Mytilus edulis: one gene and its partner. The protein of the gene in region 1 interacts with the protein of each later gene in a pairwise test. Links are inferred from orthologs where the notes say so. Each region holds a gene or a part of one and is shown in the gene's direction. Other genes may lie near its edges. The genes, in order: pleckstrin homology domain-containing family F member 2-like and protein SREK1IP1-like.

What was found.
Region 2: the proteins of pleckstrin homology domain-containing family F member 2-like (region 1) and protein SREK1IP1-like interact in a two-hybrid assay, tested with the Caenorhabditis elegans proteins (2 studies listed by BioGRID). The link is inferred for Mytilus edulis from reciprocal best matches to the Caenorhabditis elegans genes ZK632.12 and C13F10.7.

Annotation. Positions count from the first base shown.
Region 1 is NC_092350.1:31,052,793-31,062,166, forward strand, and holds the start of pleckstrin homology domain-containing family F member 2-like, read left to right. Parts: upstream 1-5,064; 5' UTR 5,065-5,119; coding exon 5,120-5,168; intron 5,169-9,374. Other genes in the region: ribonuclease kappa-A-like, read right to left, coding at 2,731-2,862.
Region 2 is NC_092344.1:100,219,776-100,229,347, reverse strand, and holds the start of protein SREK1IP1-like, read left to right. Parts: upstream 1-5,366; 5' UTR 5,367-5,449; coding exon 5,450-5,456; intron 5,457-6,866; coding exon 6,867-6,932; intron 6,933-9,384; coding exon 9,385-9,519; intron 9,520-9,572. Other genes in the region: spliceosome-associated protein CWC27 homolog, read right to left, coding at 195-293, 1,179-1,322, 2,006-2,215, 5,091-5,132.

The DNA of each region.
Region 1 (9,374 bases):
AACATATCCTGTATAATACAGACAATATGTACCAGATTATGAAATTGCAATAGATTTTAACTTGGATGGCAGCTAATTAACAAGTGATAATAGTTTGATTAAACAATAAACAGGTAATATGTATCAATAATTTGATCTGTCTTCTGTTTATGGCACTTGTCAGGGATGATTAAAAGTAAATTCATAGTTGTAGTTTATAGTGCGTTTGCCCTGTGACTACTATTTAAGTATTCTCAGATTTGGCGATATTCAATACATGTATTCTCTAGATCATATCAGAAGTCATAACAACATGGAAATATTTCCAGGTCTTGATTTTGGACAACGGTTGTTTTATTTCGTTGGACACTTAACCTTGTGGATAAAGTCATCCACGAAAGCCACAAAAATTTGTTCCACACGAATAAAAATACTTTCACAGTAATACATTTTTTATTAACCATGATAAATCAATGAGACGAAGCTTTTAAGTGATAAACTTAGCTGTAATAACAAGGCTTAGTTATTAAAAGAATGTAACTTATTATATGAGACACTTGCAATTGGGAATTACTGGAAAGCTTGGGCAGAACCTCATTACATGCTCTGGTCATTATTTCTTAAAATAAAATACATTGGTAAGTATGATCTATGTCTAAGGAAATGCCTTAAATTTAGAGTGATATAGACATGCATTGATAGAGAAGCTGTGACAACACCCTTCAGTTATTACAGACATATTTTACTATCATACATGATGGTGGGGCATAAAAAATAGTTGTTTGGTTAATGAAATGGACATGTCCACTGACAGTTGAGGTAGGGGGTTTGTGGTCTAGTGGTTAAGACCAATGGCTACAGTGCTGAAGGTACTGGATTCTATTCTGACTTGATGTGCTAGAAATTTCAGTGCATCACAATGGTGATTTTACCCTCCCACACACTTCTCTAGTAACCAGACGAGAGTTTAAACTAGACTAGGCATTTTAATTTGGGGCCTTGGTTGGTCAAGTATGTCCCCTTCTTTGACCTGGAGATCAATTTTCTGATATCTTTCAGGTTTGTCCAGACCTGCCAACTTTTGAAAATGACCATGGGGGATTCAGGGCGCGACCAAATTTTAAGGGTTACAATTTTTTCAGCATTTCTTTGTAAACTATTTTTTAGAAGTTAGAATTGGTCCGACCATAGATTTTCCGGTCCCTTCAGGTCTTTTCATTTCTCCCTTAAGCTTCAGGTCCAACTTTTGACATCAAAAATTTGTTTTTATTTTAAAAAGTTTAAATTTAAAACATTGTTAAATGAAATATGGATATTTGCAATTAGTAAAATTCCAACTTGAAGAAATTCCATCCAATAAAAAAAAAGTTATTGCAATTTGAATACTTTTAGTAGTATATTTTCAGGTCTTTTCAGGTCCACTTTCAGGTCTTTAGTGTAACCCCATCATTGATTCAGATCAGTAAGACTGGTTTCCAGAATAGTATACCTTTTATCTGTTAAAAAGTACCTGACAATGAACCAGTTATAAATTATCGATTGCAAGTTAACATGTTGAAGAAAAAGGTTTTGCATTTGAATAAACATGATAAACAGAATACAGAAACATGTCAAATTAATATTTGTTTTCTTGTTTTTTGTTTATAATAAATTACTTTGTTCATCAAAGTTGGATTAAATTTATTTTCTGCAGAATAATTGTACTTGTTCCGACGGACAAGCTTGATACAGCTTTTAAATTTTAAATGGATTTCAGAATAAACGCTGCTTTCTTATGAGTTAATCACAGTTTTCGTCTTTCAGTTAATTACGATTGTGTCATGAAACTACGGTTAACGTTGCAAATTTGTGATTGTATGATGATGAAATGCCGACTGACCGATTCTGTTTACAAATTATGATTAATTTAAAAGATTTTTATGACCAATCAGATAAGAGGATTACTTGAAACAAACAAATAATGACACCTGTTGTGATTGGTGATAAGTGTGGGGTCATAAATATGTCGCCAGGTAAAATTATAGATTTATGGAAATTGATCAGAAAAACTTCAAAATCATTAACTAATATTATTTTTTAGGTAAATTTGGTGAAAATCAAGTTTATGGCTTGTTTTACGATCCCGATATCGGGATTCAGGTTAAGGCATGAAAATTGGGACGATACCGCCAAAATCAGGAAAGTTGGCAGGTCTGTTTGTCTGTTTCCATCGAGTGGCCCTATGGTTCTCTCCAAGTACTTTGACTTCCTCCACATAATACCAGGCTTCCTGGTGTCCTTGCCCTCCGTTTGTGTTGGGTGGGGATGGATTGTCCTTATAAAAAATTGTTATTATACGATAGTGACACATCTAAATTAATCCCTATAGGGAGTGTACATGGATTCCATTGTACCCTCCCAGCTTTCGAGGGGTTCTTTGAGGAATTTACCAGTTCATACATACATAAGCATGATAAGGAAGATATCATGATATTATTATATTATATGGCAGTCTGTCGTCTGAATCTGAGTAAGTACGCTGCAGGGCTAGTTGCATAGGCACTTGTTTCTATCCATGGAAGGACCCACTATCAACGTAAATATACGTTGATATTGGGTCTTCCAATGGATAGAAACAAGTGCCTGTAAGTTTATGGTTTCAATGCCAACGGGATGCACGCACGAAGATTTCAGTTTCAAACTGGTTTAGCATTTGTTTACATTAATTTTTTTTTCAATTTTGATTATCAACGACTTTACTCAAATACTAACCAACATAACAACACCCCAAATACTAAGTACTGTACAACAAATGGACAGCTTTGGTCCACAAATAGGACACGAAACCATTTTCAAGTTAGTTTGTCGATTATCATATGATTTGATAGGCGTGGTGATCCACATGCAAATTAATATATTTTTATTTCTATTTCACCGGGAAAAATATTTTATATATCAAATGAACGACTATGAAATCAAGGATGAACAAACAATTGAAAATTCAATATTTGAAGCAACGATTTTGATGAAATCTAATTATTTTTCTTCCAAAATTTTGGATCATAATACTACTCGAACGAAATGACGGATGTGGTTATGTCTCCATTACGGAACGGATCTTTTAACATGTTTAACCAGTTTATAAGTCCTTATAACAAGAAGTGGCTATTTAATTTTGCCGGCTCCTGCAAAATATTCTCTTATAGGTGCTTTTCTATCGGCTGTGAGAAAATAGCGATTTGTACAGAGACATGGCAGGGCCGTAACTACCTTGAGGCAAATGAGGCAAATGCCTCATGCTAGAAATTAAAAAAAAAAAAAATTAAACAAAAGATTGTTTTAAAATCAAATTGTTTTCACGGAAAGTGTCTAACAAGAAGCAAGTTCTCTTCGCTCTCTGGTGTCGCCCCTGCATGTTTTCCGTGATCCATGTTTCTTTTTTACTTTGAGTTTTCATAGTTGACAGTCTATTGTTTGAACTTCTGTGTCCCGAGTTTGTCTTTTGCTCATTTATTGTCCTACTTTATCACAATAGTCTGAGTGTTGATTTTCATTTGTAAGCGTGCGGTTTTGCAATGTTGCATGCCCACCGATGTCCAGATATTGTGCGAGAAAATGTTTTAAGAATATACAAGACACAGAAAAAAATTGTCGTTTCTGCATGGAGAATTGAATTTGATATCAAAGAATTCACAACTGGTTTCTTTTCGTTGATAAAACTAGATAGCTGACATGGTTTAAATTAAAGTTAGGTCACCAATTTTCCAGTATCAAATTATTTGAAAAAAAAAACAGTAATGTATTGCCATATGACCATTTCCACTGATGGGTTAAACTTGCATTAAGTAATGTTCAGACCCTTTTACAGAAAACAAAGGAATATGGAGTAAATGTACACGAAACCTAATCGCACACAAAGTCAATGCATAAAAAAATACTAATGATCAATCAATTGGTCAAAGTTGCTGGAGGGTCTTCAAAAAATAAAAGAATCATTAATACCGTAAAACAGGGTCAAGATGGTCCCGAGTGTCGACTTAAGCAGTACTAGTATTTAAAGCATAATACTGCACTGTCACTATATTTCAATCTAGTCATAAAAATATCACCAAAGTCTAAGCACAATACAAGACTAAATCAGACAATCAGACAGAGAGATCCGGAATTAATGATTTTGAGAATTACGAATTTTGCTTTGTCCTATATATCGGTCTTTTAATGTTGTCCATAAAATCTTAAAGTCTTAAATTACAATGAATCTATGTTTTTGCTTTCAGACCAATATATTGTTGAAAAAAAGCTAAAAAATTAATTGCGTTTCAATGTCAGAAAGAGTGCGGGAAACGCTCAGAATGCACGATTTTGCGTTATTTTTCTCAGAGCTTCTGGGGGCCTTGAGCCCTCGCCAAATTTTTTTTGCCTCGCTCCGCTTGGAAAACACTGTGCTCTTCTCTGATCCAATATGTTATTTTGACTATAAGTATGCTGATCTGAAGGTAATTATCAAAACAAATGAAAAATAAACTTCAAGTGGCACAAACTGAGACTGTGAGATTTTTTCTGAAGCTACATTCCTGAAACGGAGTGTAACATATATATACATTGAATTTGAGAAATAGTTCTTTTTTTAATATCAGGAATAGAGTCAAACAACTAAGTCTCAATCATGTTTTCTATATTTAAAGCAATATATGCACAAATTATTTGCATATAGTTATTACTTATTTTGTTAGAAATAAAACATTCAATACAAGATCTAGTATATGATAGTAAAAACTTTCATATACTAGGAAATAAAGGGTGTGAATCCACCACCGCCTTATTTGGTGTAAAGAAAGACTGGAATTCGCTACCAGAAACGAATTACAATTGCTCTGAATAAATATAATTTCAGTGAAGTACAAGTCAGCGAAAAAAAATTTGATGGACAAATTTAAAGCCATCTTTAACAGTGATTTTGTTTTATCAATTATGCTGAGGCTTTAATTTTTGTTTGTATTTCTACGTGTCAATCTTTGGTGTTAACTCAAAGTCTCGTCATAAAAAGGCCCCGCTGGAAATAAGGTATCTTCTTTTTTGTATTCATAGAAACTTTCCGAATTTTGTACATTCTCTTTCACGTCGACTGATTTTATTTTAGACGTCTCGATAGATTTTTCATATGTTGCACATCGTTGAGCTGTCATTTGTCAACATGGTAGACCGATTGGGTGGGTTGCTACTTAGAAATATTGCTCACTGTTATTCAGAAGTCCGGAAGAATAATAAATTGATTGTTAGGAAGCAGTTTTACAAAGTTTTTGAATTCGCGATGATGAATTATATCGATTATCGTAAAATTAGCATTCAAACAATGATTTTTATATATAGAACAGTTAAGAGTTTAGTTTCACTTTATCATGTTTATAAATAAGATAAGAATACCGATCCGAGACCTAGACTATGAATACTGCATCATTTTCAAGTGATCTCCCCAGAATTATTATTTTTCTAATATGTTTTTTATGTATATAACATACTGTGTACATAAAATACTTAATGGTATTACAGCAAGTACATTTTAAAATAAACAATAAATAGATAAAATCTAGACGACAGGGAAGGAGTGTTTTAAAACAATTCTAGGAAGTACATGTATTAATTTCAGTTTCTGTATAGTAAACTTCCCATTAATTACTATAACAATATGACACATACATGTACATTGTACATTCATGACACATCAAAGTGTTCGTTTTGTTCAGAAACTGGAATTTAAAACAATATGCAATGTTAAAGTGGAGCATTCATGCACTGAAAACTTTTGAATCAAGTAGGATTTTCATTTATTAAAGCAACTTAAATATTTTTTATTTATCAATTCAACTGTTTTTCCAATTTTTCTAAAGTACATGTATGGTGTTTAAATTTTGATATTGTATCATGTTTGTAATGATTGTCATGTTTGGCTTGGTAACAATCCAACATTAGGATTTTACACCAATAAAATGATTTGATTTGTATGGTGGTGTTTAATATTTTTTCTTGCTGACAATACCAAACAATTGTTTTGTTCTAAAACATTATAATAAATAAATAAATAAATAATTATTTTATTATAGTGTCACATATTGATTGACAATTATTACAAATCACAGTATTCAATAAAACAATCAATACCCAGTCATAAATTTGACTTATGAGACACTTAACACATGTTATATACAAATTAATATAGTTTCACGGTAAAATTCATAAAATTATCATAAAAAAAGATAAAACATATTTATGCATTTAAAAGCATATATACTTGTCTGAGTAAAAAAATAAAAATCTAAAAAGAATGCTGTTTAAAAAGTATGGAAATACTTAACGTGCTTAAAGTAAAAAAGAATAAAAAATATATTTTAAGTTTTGAAATAATTTTATCTAAAAATTAACAATTTGCATATCTACATGTAATTATATTATCATAAATTAATCGCAGTGACTTTAAAATCATAAAATAGACTTTTACAACTAGTATGTTATTAGTAATAATTAAGAAAATAATTTTCGTCTCATAAAACTCTTGTGTAAACATTTGCTTAAACATTTTTTAATATCAGCAGCAGTCCTTTTGCGCCAATTACTGTTTTTCAGGGGTATCATTTGCGCCAAATTTTATTTTCAAAATGTATCAATTGCGCCAATATTCGGAACTCATTTGCATCAATTTACCTGTACATATATCTATCATAAATATTAATGATAACTATATATGTATTCTTATTTTTGCCCCAAAAGGTATCACATGTTAGGAGATATTTCACCATAAAGACGAGTTTCTGAAGAGAATTAAATGACTTAAGCAGCATTAGACAGTCAATGTACAGAGAGAGAATAAAACTTATTGTTTTGCTTAACACAGATATGCCAATATAGAAAATAGAAGTTTTTGCTCTTTATGTTTTAGCCACAAATGTTGATGACACAGAGCTTTGTTCCCACCATGCGTATGGGCTTTATTATTATTATGAACTATTATTAACTATTTTATGGATTTCATCCTTCAATGTTTGTGTTTTTGGACAATAAAAAGAAGTTAAAAGCTACTACATACATTAAATTGGGAAGTACCCATGCAGCAGCAGTAATAAAAACATATGTTTCAGAAAAGGAAACATGTGCCGTGTTACACTGCCGGTTCCAAGCTTAAGTCCGAATAAAGGAGTAAGGAAGTAATTTTCTTTTAACTGGCGCAATCGTATGTTTTATTTTTGGCGCAAATGAAACCATCTAATTTTAAAACATGTGGGGCAAACGTAGCATTTGAGAAAAAAAGTTGTGGCGCAAAAGGAAGCATTTTTGGCGCAAACGGATCTCTCCCTGAATATCACATTTCATTATTTCAACAAGTTTGACATCATCATTTAACATTGAGAAATTGTCAATATATTTTGAACATTCGACCAACAGTTCAAACCTAATGTCTTCATATAAGGAACATTTTAAAAGAAAATGTTTTTCAGATTCAACACTATTTAAGCATGTTAAGGAACAAAATTTACAAAGTCTATTTTCTAGTGCTGTAGGCGGCCTGGTGTACCTGCCAGTCTCGATGGCTAACGGTGTCGGCGCGGAACAAGGCTAGAGTACGTCTGTACGAGCGTGGTATAATTTGGAGAACGTATGTCTCGGCAAAATTGTTAGTTTTGAATAACCTGTACATTCGAAGTTTGTTGCCATTTTGATGTCTACGATCATTGAAAAGTTCACTTTGCCATTCGGTATTATCTAAAACCTTTATTTTGTCGGTCACAAACTTCATAACTGTTTTCGTAGATAATGATAGATCGTTTACGGTGTTTCAAATGTTTAATAACTTGGTAAATTTATCCACATTGCGGCACCAACCGTTGCGTCTTCCTGAGGCCCACTTCCATATTTTGAACACATTCCTATTTTCGTCTGTTCTTATTATTTTACACAAAAGTCTGATCCATGATATACGCTGCTTATTTCAACATGAAATCCACCCCATGTCGCCTATACATGTAAGTCTGCCAGGTTTCATGTACCTTATATTTATTAATCTTTCTCACTCAATTAATGTTTTAAGATTTAAAAATATAATGCAGGTGCTGTTCATGGCATTAAAATTCCTGAAATTTTAAGAAAAAAGGTTGTTTTAAATTAATGATCAGGGTTAGGATTGTCATTTTTGTGAAAATTTGTAAATTACTATACACTACGTACATGTAAGTATTTCGTTAAAAATTAACAAATTTTGCAAAAAGATGTTTCTGCTGTTTCGCCCTAAATGTAGAAAGAAAAGGCCCTAATTATATATAATGTCATTATGTACACTGTAAGACAAAATTGAAAAATATGAAAGTCAAAACTGATATCTGACAAAGTAGTTTGTATTGAACATCTGAATGATGGAATTTGTCAGATTTAAAACACTTTTTGATTTTCTGAATGAACATGCCAAAAAGTAGCCTAATTATCATATAATATTCTCCATAATGACACCACAGGAACATGAATTGCTTTGTACAAATGTATGTGAATCACACTAAAAAATGAAAGCATGGAGGGTCCATGCTGACATGTTAGTGTAAACTTTTCTAGTTTTTACTTTAATGTGTACTTTTAATTTGAGATTTTACAAAAAAAAAAATGTATATAAAATATTAGAGACATAGATCACCTTTGATATACATGTACATGTATAAACATCTGATCAGAAAATGTATTATATTATGTGCAATGCAAAGCTTTCAAACGAGGAAACACATTTAGCCCTTGTTTATTTGTACATCACAACACCTTGCGCATGTAGCGTGTATGATACTTTTTTTACATTCAATACTTGTATAACTAATACAATGTAAAAACGAGAAATATTACTTTTTAAATTGTTACCGGTACACATGGTACATGTACATACACATTAAATTGATAAGATCTGTATCATGTGTAGTTTTTATTTGCTGAATGCATATATGCATTTGTAGCACTTCTTAATCATGTTGTCATTTAATTTTCTTTTTCTTACATCTGATGTGATCAGGCTAGGGAAACACTTAAGCTACATGTACATTTTGTACTTAAGTAGTTTTTTAAATTTTTATATACATTTACTTGAAGATGTGAATAGGATGCTTTATATTTCCTTGTTTAAGTACATACAGTACAAATGTAGTAAATGTGTAAGATTTTAATTTTGTTTACATGGTTTAAGGTTTGAATAACCAATTATTTTGCCTGACTAATGAATGTCAGTTAAAAATGTCATTTTTCACCACCCTTGAAAATTTCTCAAGATCTAGGAAGTCAAACATGCTTCAAACCTTTTTTTTTAATTTGCTAGTTTTTGTCGAGCCTGCAACTTTTGTTGCAGAAAGCTCGACATAGGGATAGTGATCCGGCGGCGGCGGCGGCTACGGCGG
Region 2 (9,572 bases), on another chromosome or scaffold:
TACTTTGAAAAATGAACTTTTTGCAAACATCTGAAGGAGACATGAGTACATATACTTAATTTAGTTGTGCAGTTGCCATTCTTATATGACATTGATAAAAGGTAAGTTAGGGAAACTGGTTCCTTATTCTCTTATTCCTTCTATCTATGTTTTGTCTATTTAAAGCATTGGTTTCAGTATTTTAAATTATTTACCTGTGCTTTATTAATTTTTGGTGGATATAATGGTCTGTCAGTACCGTCTGTTTCACAATCATTTAGTTTAATCATGTTATATACAGTATTACCAGTAACCTATAAATGACAGAAATAAATAAATTTAAATGCTATCTATAAAAATTTAAGATGACTTATCTGCAATACACAGATACTATACCATTAAAGGACTATTGTAAAAAGCTAAATCTCTAGGATGTAAATACTAAACTAAAAAAGAACAAGCCATAGTGATCATATTTTTGTATATCAAGCATCTTGGTTACTACTACAGATATTAATTACAAAAAACTATAGATCTAGATGTTTAGATGATGTTTTATTCCATGCCATATTATGTTCTGCATTGTATCAAACAAACTAATTTTAAATTTGTATTGGTCTAGCTCCTTGTTGTAAGTCCAAAGAATGGCATGTAACTAATCTAGACATTTTATTCTGAATCTAAGTCAATTTTAATATGAAATGATATGTGTTTAGTGAAGAAGGCAAATAATATTGCTATAGTCCTTGATTTGAACCAACTTAGATAATTCCTACAATTTCCTGTACTAGAGAATAACATGTTACTATAGACCATTGAAGTGTTAATTAATAATCATGACTCTTTAATGTTTTTAATTTTAAGATAAACTATTTGTAGTTTTGTCAGTGGCAATATCTTTGCTGTAAAGCTATTTGTTTATATCTGCATGCTTTTTTTGTTCTCTTCATTAAAAAGAAATAATATGTCAAAATTAGATGCATTCAATGAGTTAGAATAAGAAAATTGAAAATTATTTATAATATCTTTAGACTTTAGAAGCATTTTCTCTTCTTCTGACAATGATCTGTTTTAACACATCAACTGGAAATATAACCCCAATAAACTAAGGCTTGCGTACACATATAATTCATAATTGTGTATTTTAAGAACTTTTATTGACAACCCAAAACAGAAACTACATGTATAATAAATCTTACTTTTCCAAAAATGGTGTGTTTACTTTGCAGCTCTGGTGTTTTGTCCAAAGTGAAAAAGAACTGACTACCATTGTCATTCGGCCCTGCATTTGCCATGGCAACCAGTCCTCTTCTAACAAAACGAAGTCTTGAATGAATTTCATCCTGAAACAAATCAAAAGTCATTATTGATTACAAAACAGTTGGCAAGTGTTAGATTATATGTTTTATATTGTTTCCTTATGATGTTTATTGTGACATGAAACATATTAATATCATGAAACATGTACGATGTAAGTTTTTAATTTAGTTGATTACTGAAACAATCTTAAGGAAACAAAGTCAACATACATGTATGTAACATGTTGAAAACGCCTTTTGATTATCATGATTATATTCTTTTAATACACAAAATCTTGCAAATAAAACTTAAAGTTGATGATGTTTGTAAATTCATCAGTATTTGTACACCATTATAATTTATATTAAAAACCTAATCTATAATTATGTGTTTTTTTGTTTTTTTTAAATTTTAAAGCATCTATATCAAACACATTCTCTATTTGACAATAAACAAATGAAATAATCAGTTTTATAGGGAATCACTGAAGCATGACTGGACCAGCCCCCCCCCCCCTTTTTAGGTCAGTCAACAGGCCCTCCCTTACAAAAAGTTCTGGATCTGCCACTGATTTATACGAAAAACATTATCTATTATGTGTTGTTTTTTTTAATTTTAAAGCATCTATATACCAAACACATTCTCTATTTGACAATAAACAAACGAAATAATCAGTTTTTATTCAATATATATATGTAAAACTGACTGAAGATGTAAAACACTTTACCTTAAATGGATGACCATAAATAGATTCACCACCATCTCCAGTGCCTGATGGGTCCCCTCCTTGTGCAATGAAATCCTTGATAATGCGATGGAAAATTGTATCCTCATAATATCCCTCCATACACAACTGAACAAAGTTTCGACATGCTTTAGGGGCTTCCTTCGACCATAATTCTATGTCAATGTCTCCTACACTTGTATCTAATAGAACCTACAAATAGATTTAACATAATACAGATGGTCATGTTCATGTGAATCAAGTTGAAACAGATTAAACATTGAGACTCTCAACTAGGCAAGCTTTTCTACATTGTTTGAACATAAAATTATATGAGGCTTCACATACAAGTACATGTACATGTAATATAGTCTAATAACCTTCTTTTTTATATCTACTTATCTCAAAGAACAAGGTTTGTGCTCCTTCTTTTATCACAATTCTTAGATGAGATATACTTCTGATTAAACCTAATTTCATTAACTAATGTTTTCTTTTTCTCAGCTACATTATATTCACTAGCTCAAGTAGTTATGCGCTAAGTAACAGATGAAAATATATTTTCAATACTTGAATGGAATGGAAAAGTTTTATTATAAAACATATGATATGTGCATAAACTTTCTTGTAAATGAACATCCTAATCTTCATACATGTACATGTCATAGCTAACTGCTATTTATTTATTGTCGTGTTCCAATACTCAAATTTGATTACAGCTTTTCTGTATGGAGTGACCTTAACCATGAGCCGTTTATATTAACTTCTACAACCAATGAGCACAAGTGTGATGGAAAAACCTGCACTGACAGAAATCGTTTATTGCATGATATCATTATAATGTCATTAATGATTGTTCAAGTGTACCAAGTTGTTTATTCAATAATGAAAAAGTATTTTCAATTCTTTTTACACTAGAGACATTTTTATCTTGTTGTTGTTCAAATGAAACAAGTCAAAGGTATTTGCTGTTAGAAATCAAATTTTTCCAGGAAAAAGAACCTCTTATTATGCTATCAGGTAGGATAATTAGAAATAAATATTAACAAATAGAATATCTCCATTTTGAAGATCATGTATTGGTACATTCTAAAATTTTGAATTAATGAGAACCGATTTAAAAACAAAAGTTGGAATATGCTACAGGTGTCGCCACTCTTAAAAAAATATTTGTAAATTTGAATCTGTCCAAAGAAAGACCACTTAACTCGTCAAGAACATAAATCATTTAAGTTTTGAAGATAGGTTACGTTCATTGAGCTTATTTACTTAATCACCATCTTATTATAATGTTACAAAATGTATACGAAAGGTCACTCCTTAAAAAACTTTTTAAGAAACATTGTAAGACAACACATACTGACATAGACTAAATACTTTTTCAATTAGAGTAGTGGATCAGTGGAATAACCGGTCTGATTTAACAGTGACGGCAAAGACCTTGAATAATTTTAAGTCAGTTAAATGGCAAAAATTGGAACCTGTATCAATTTATATGTTCCTGTCAATTGTTAACCCTCTTACTGCCAGTTGTTTTTCAAGGTTGCATTTCATGTGCCAGAAAATACGACCGCTGGATGTTTGTGACCTCAGATGTCCAAACACGACGTCATCTGATACAAAATGTATATGACATCACGACAAGATGACCGTTACATTCAGGTCCCATTGAAATTTGAAGACAAATATAACCTTGTCAAATATTTGATCTTTTATTTGAAAAAGATACAACAATGAGGAGAAGCTTGCATAAATTAAAACATGGACACCTAAATAAATTTTATTTTTTTTATAATACATGTATATATAAAACCTGCCAAGTCTCACGCATGTGTGTGCTTTTTTTTTTGGCATTTTCTTTTGATCTACATGTATTGTTTTTTCTCTTTGATCTTTTCAATTTTGACAAAATCTTACACATTTGCTTCACGAAAAGTTGGCAGAACTGTAAAACTATTCTAATTTTTCTCCTTGTCATTATGCAATTATTATACAATGAGAAATTGCATTATGACCATGATGACAAAATTTTTAAAAACTTTAAAAGGCAACCAGAGGAAGCAAGTAAATATCTTGGAGTAACCATCAGTAACAACCTAACATGGGATAAACACATAGACAATACAGTAGGCAAAGGAAACAGAACTTTGGGGTTTATACGTAGAAACCTCAAAGGCTGTACAAAACCTGTAAAGGCAGCTGCATATGTGTCCATGGTAAGACCTGCAGTGGAATATGCAAGCACAGTATGGGACCCAACCGCTCAAAATAAAATCAAGGCAATTGAACAGGTTCAGAAAAGAGCTGCACGAATTTGTGAATAACAACTACACAGACCGAACACCTGGCTGTGTCACAAATATGGTTAAAAATCTAAAGTGGGAAAGCCTCGAAGAACGGAGGAAAACAAATAGATTGTGCATGCTATTCAAGATCCAGCATGAACTTATAGATATAGACCGTCACAAATATTTGACACCGAATGATAACCGGACCAGAGGTAAAAACCGCTTCTTCCAAGAAAGAACAAGTACAGACACCTACGGCCAATCTTTCTTCCCGAGGACAATCAGGGACTGGAACAACCTACCAACGACAGTTACAGCGACCAACACCGTTGAGGGATTCAGAGCTGCCCTGAAGGCATGCTCTGAAAGGAAGTAGGAAAACCAGTTGTAAATAATTTTAATTGTATATTTTTCTGCGAACGTTTTAAATGTAATTTGTAAATAGCCAAGAGAAATCTTTCTGTGTTGCCCGACACTGCGTAAAGTTTTCGTGCGGAACCATTAACATTCAGCAATGAATCTGGTTCCTTACCTGGAAGAAGAAGAAGAACCTCAATCAAGCATGCACCAGAATGTAATCTTCAAAATGTTGATGGTTTTCTGTAACTAAAGAAGAAGGAGAAGAAGAAGAAGACATTCCAAGATGAGGTGTCAGTAAAATTCATTGGCTTAAAATATACAGATAGAAAGATAGTAAAACAGCTGTTGTTATTGATATTGTCAACTGTCTGCTGGAGTTATAATATAGCAAGACTGTTTACTTTTTTTTTAAACAGCAAAGTAAAACACTAATTTTCTACCTTTCCGCTCGTAGGCGGTTCTTGTATATAAATATTGCTCATAGCCTGTCAAACAAAAACAAACTAGACCATTAATTTGAAATGTCAATGGGCGCAGCCATTTTGTTTAGGTCTAACTAAAAGATAAAATAGTAAATGATGTATTTGTATAATAAACTAAGAATTTCATATTCAAATTCATAATATTCATTATATTTGATTATTTATGGGATTTTTTAAACAGAATGTAATTTCGTAATAATCATGGAAAGTTAATGTTGATTTTCTTTTAGTTTTGACTTGAATGATACCAGATTATCTCCCTTAGGTACCTAACCAAAAAATTTAGACCATTCCGCAGTTTTACGATTTATGACACAATGCAAGGTAAACAAAGAAAGACAAATTTGATACAACTTGTTCATGACAGGAATCAAATAATAAACTGGATTGAATCATTTTTGTCAAACAGAACACAAACAAAAACAGTAGTCAGTACTTTTAGAAAGAGTCATCTTTAAAAATTATACCAGTCACATGATCAGGTGTCACACTGGGTACAGTGCTAGGACCAATACTATTCTAATTTACATAAACGACCTCCCAAAATACATCCAACATAGTAAAATCCGACTCTTCGCAGATGACAGTAATAATGAGTATATGAATAGGTAGTGTATGTACGTACCTGCATGTGAGGTATGCGTAGCCAAATTGGCCTTTGTAGGCTACGGCTACGCACACCCGCCTCCAGTTTTATAATTTAATGTCATCGGATCAGGAATAAATTGTAAAATTAACTCAGAAAACATCGCAATAAGTGAGAGAATAAATTGATTACTCACAGAGATTTTAAGATTTGAAATGTCAATATATATGAAAAAAAAAGTTCTACGCCTATTATTATTTTACGACGTACCGTGATACACTTTCGTAAAAATATGCATTTATATTTGATTTCTATTTTTCTAACTAATACATTAAAAACAATTTAAAAAATATTATTTGCTATTATCTTCACAGAATTCACAAAATCAGAAAAATAACCAATAATTTTTGTGTATCTTTCACGTTGCTTTCCCAATCATATGACACTTTCTTATAAAATCGGTTGCGGGTACACATAGCCTAAAAAGGCCAATTTGGCTAAGTGTATCCGTATGCAGGTACTCGCAGACAGGCGCAGACACTGCCATATATAAATAAAACATTGGACGATAGAGCAGATTGGGATACAACTAAAAGTTAAATCAGCACCCACAGAAAAAGTCAAATTGGCACCTTGTTAAATCGACATCTGGTTAAAAATAGGCACCCATTTAAAGTCAATTTGGCATCCAATGACAGATTGTTACCAAAGAATACAGTGTCAATCACTACCAAGCCAAGATTGACAATGCTTTTTTGAGGGTTACCAATCTGCTCTATCATCCTCTCACTATGTGTTACATGTATTTAATTTATTATGCTTAAGTTAATGTCCTATCATTATTGTCTAACAGATGAATTTTATTTAAAAGTATTTTCTAATCCATGAGGTCACATACATTATAACAACTTTGCGGGTATTTGAAAAATCATCAAAAGTGAAGCAAGATATTTTTTTTTTATTATAAAATAATGATATAATCTATCGACAAATAAAATCTCTATTAACATGTTGAAAGAAGTCCCTTCGGGTTTTCAATAATAAATAGCAGGCAAGATATTCCAATCTTTTAGGTCTTATTATTTGATTTTAATCTTTGACTGACATGACTGATGCCTTATCAACATTATTTTTTTTAAAACTTTTAGGCATAGGCAGCAAATACACCAATAAAAATGATGGACTTAAACCAGCCTGTAAAAAATGTGGATATGGTATGTATAGCAGATTGTATTGTATTTAATACTGAAGAGTCTTTATATGGGATACCAAATTTTATGGAATTTGTGGGTAAATGCAAGGATTTGTAAACTAATCCTTGGTATTGGTAAAACAAACTTTTTCATGTTTAACAAAGTACAAATATTCTAAAGGCTTGTAATAAGACATTGCAAAAACCTTGAAATCAAATACCACTATATATTATTTTTACTATAGTATCAACAAAAATAAATAAATTCACAGTATTCAGCTGTGTACCATTTAACAGCATAGGCAAGTTACTATATCTTTTAAAACTTCATGATAATCATGAAATAATGTAGTTTGTTTATTGCTATATACATTCCTCACTTGCATGATCTTTGTTTTTAATTTGTCACACTGCTCCCACTTGCGACATCTCAATTCACAAGTCTTTAATTGACAATGTGGATTGTTCTGGTTTATTTTTTATGCCCCACCTACGATAGTAGAGGGGCATTATGTTTTCTGGTCTGTGTGTCCGTCCGTCTGTCCCGCTTCAGGTTAAAGTTTTTGGTCAAGGTAGTTTTTGATGAAGTTTAAGTCCAATCGACTTCAAACTTAGTACACATGTCCCCTATGATATGATCTTTCTAATTTTAATGCCAAATTAGAGTTTTTACCCCAATTTCACGGTCCACTGAACATGGAAAATGATAGTGCGAGTGGGGCTTTCGTGGACTGAGGACACATTCTTGTTTTAAAATATTCAGGCATTATTTAATTTTTATTAAAATTGAATGATTTTTTTTTTATCTAAATAACTGTCTACTTACTTCTATTGAGCTATTATATAGAAAAAATAGTTAATTGAGCAGTTGAGACATTATAGCATTCTTATTTCCGTATCATAAGACGTGCAGTGTAATGGAAATCTTTTACCAGCCATGACTATTTCATTCCTATTCCTTTAAGTATAATTATGTTTTCTTTTTATGCCTCAACCGTAGGCAACATGGGCATTAATTGTTACCCTTGACTATCCCTCTGTCCATCTGTCAGTCCTTTTGTCTGACCCATTTTTGTTTTACCACTCTTGGTTATGTTTTCCTCATCCAAACTTTCTGAAAGTCATACATGGTGCTAAAAACCAAAAGTGGCAGACAGAGATCAAATTTGATCACAGAGTCATTTACAGTTAGTTATGCCCTTTTATAAGTATAACTTGGAAATGCAAGTCTGTTCATGTTCGCACTCTAACTTAAGTTTGCCTCATCCAAATTTTAAGAAAATCATTGGTAGTCCAGTCAATCTAGCATACATAAGTTTTAATCTTTAGCATTATACCCCAAATATACACAGAAAAAAGTCCTATAAAATATAACTTGTGGAAAACTAAAAAATCATGATTTTAAAATTCCTATGGAGATTTGCGTTCATATGGGAGATAACTCTGCAAAAATGCAGAAATATCAATAAAGATTGATAAAAAGTTATAACTTTACCGCTTCTATTCAACAGAATGTATTGATTCTTGATATTTGAGTCATCTTTAGAGTATAACAAAGAACTCTTAAGGTATTATCATATCTTTTATCAAGCTAGAACCTAGACTTCATAATTAAATAGTTGACCATTTATTAGATTTTTCAGCATGTTAAGGTAAAGAATCTCAAATTGAATAATAAAACTAATTAAGCATATATTCCTCTTTTTGTGGTTTAAAGTTTCTATGAACAAGGTAGATGCTGAACAAATATAATTTACAGATAGAAATAATACCAAATATTCATTTTTTCAAAATGGTCACTAGGCCATAAATTTGCAATTTTTTTAATGAAAATGTGCAAAAAGAATTAAAAAAATATGCATAGCACTTCGGTTTTGTACATTTCATGAGCAGAAGATTATATAATATAGTCAAATACGAAGTTATAACTCCATCAAAGTATCATATATTACATGAATTTTAAGAAAATCAAACAAAAACTGACATAAAAGTCTCATTTTTGCTGAGTTATCTCCCTTTCCAATGTTAATTTCTATAAGAAATTAAAAATGCAAAATTTGAGTTTTCCTCAAATTAGATTTTATGGGACTTCTTTCTGTATATATTTGGGGCTAAATGCTATAGATTAGAATTAAAGCATTTTCTGTTGCAATTAGTTTGAGGTTCAAACTTAGTTTGACTGGACTAAAGGTATTGCTGATCATTGCTGAAAACCACAACACGCAGAGTTTAAATTCTGGCAATATTTCATTAACCTTTCTAGAGTTATACCCCTTTATACTTTGGAAAATTGTAAATATTTTAATTTACTCACTCTAGGTAAGTTTTTATTTAACATGCAGACTAAGTTCTAATTTGGGCAGTGAGTCATTAAACGTTTTGATAATTGAAAATTGCAAAGCTTGAGCAAGGGCATTCATGTCCTTAGAATGCTTAGACAAAATTTCTTATTTTATTTTCATTATGTTTTTTAGCTGGACATCTAACATTTCAGTGTCGTAACTTTGTGAAGGCAGATCCTGGTAAAGATATTGTTTTAGATGTCAGTAGTACTAGCTCAGATTCCTCAGAAGATGATTTTATTTCACCACTCAGTCAGTTTCAACAAGGTTTGTTCATCTGTTTATTTTTTGTCACTGAGTTATATTTTGAGGAGATCTTG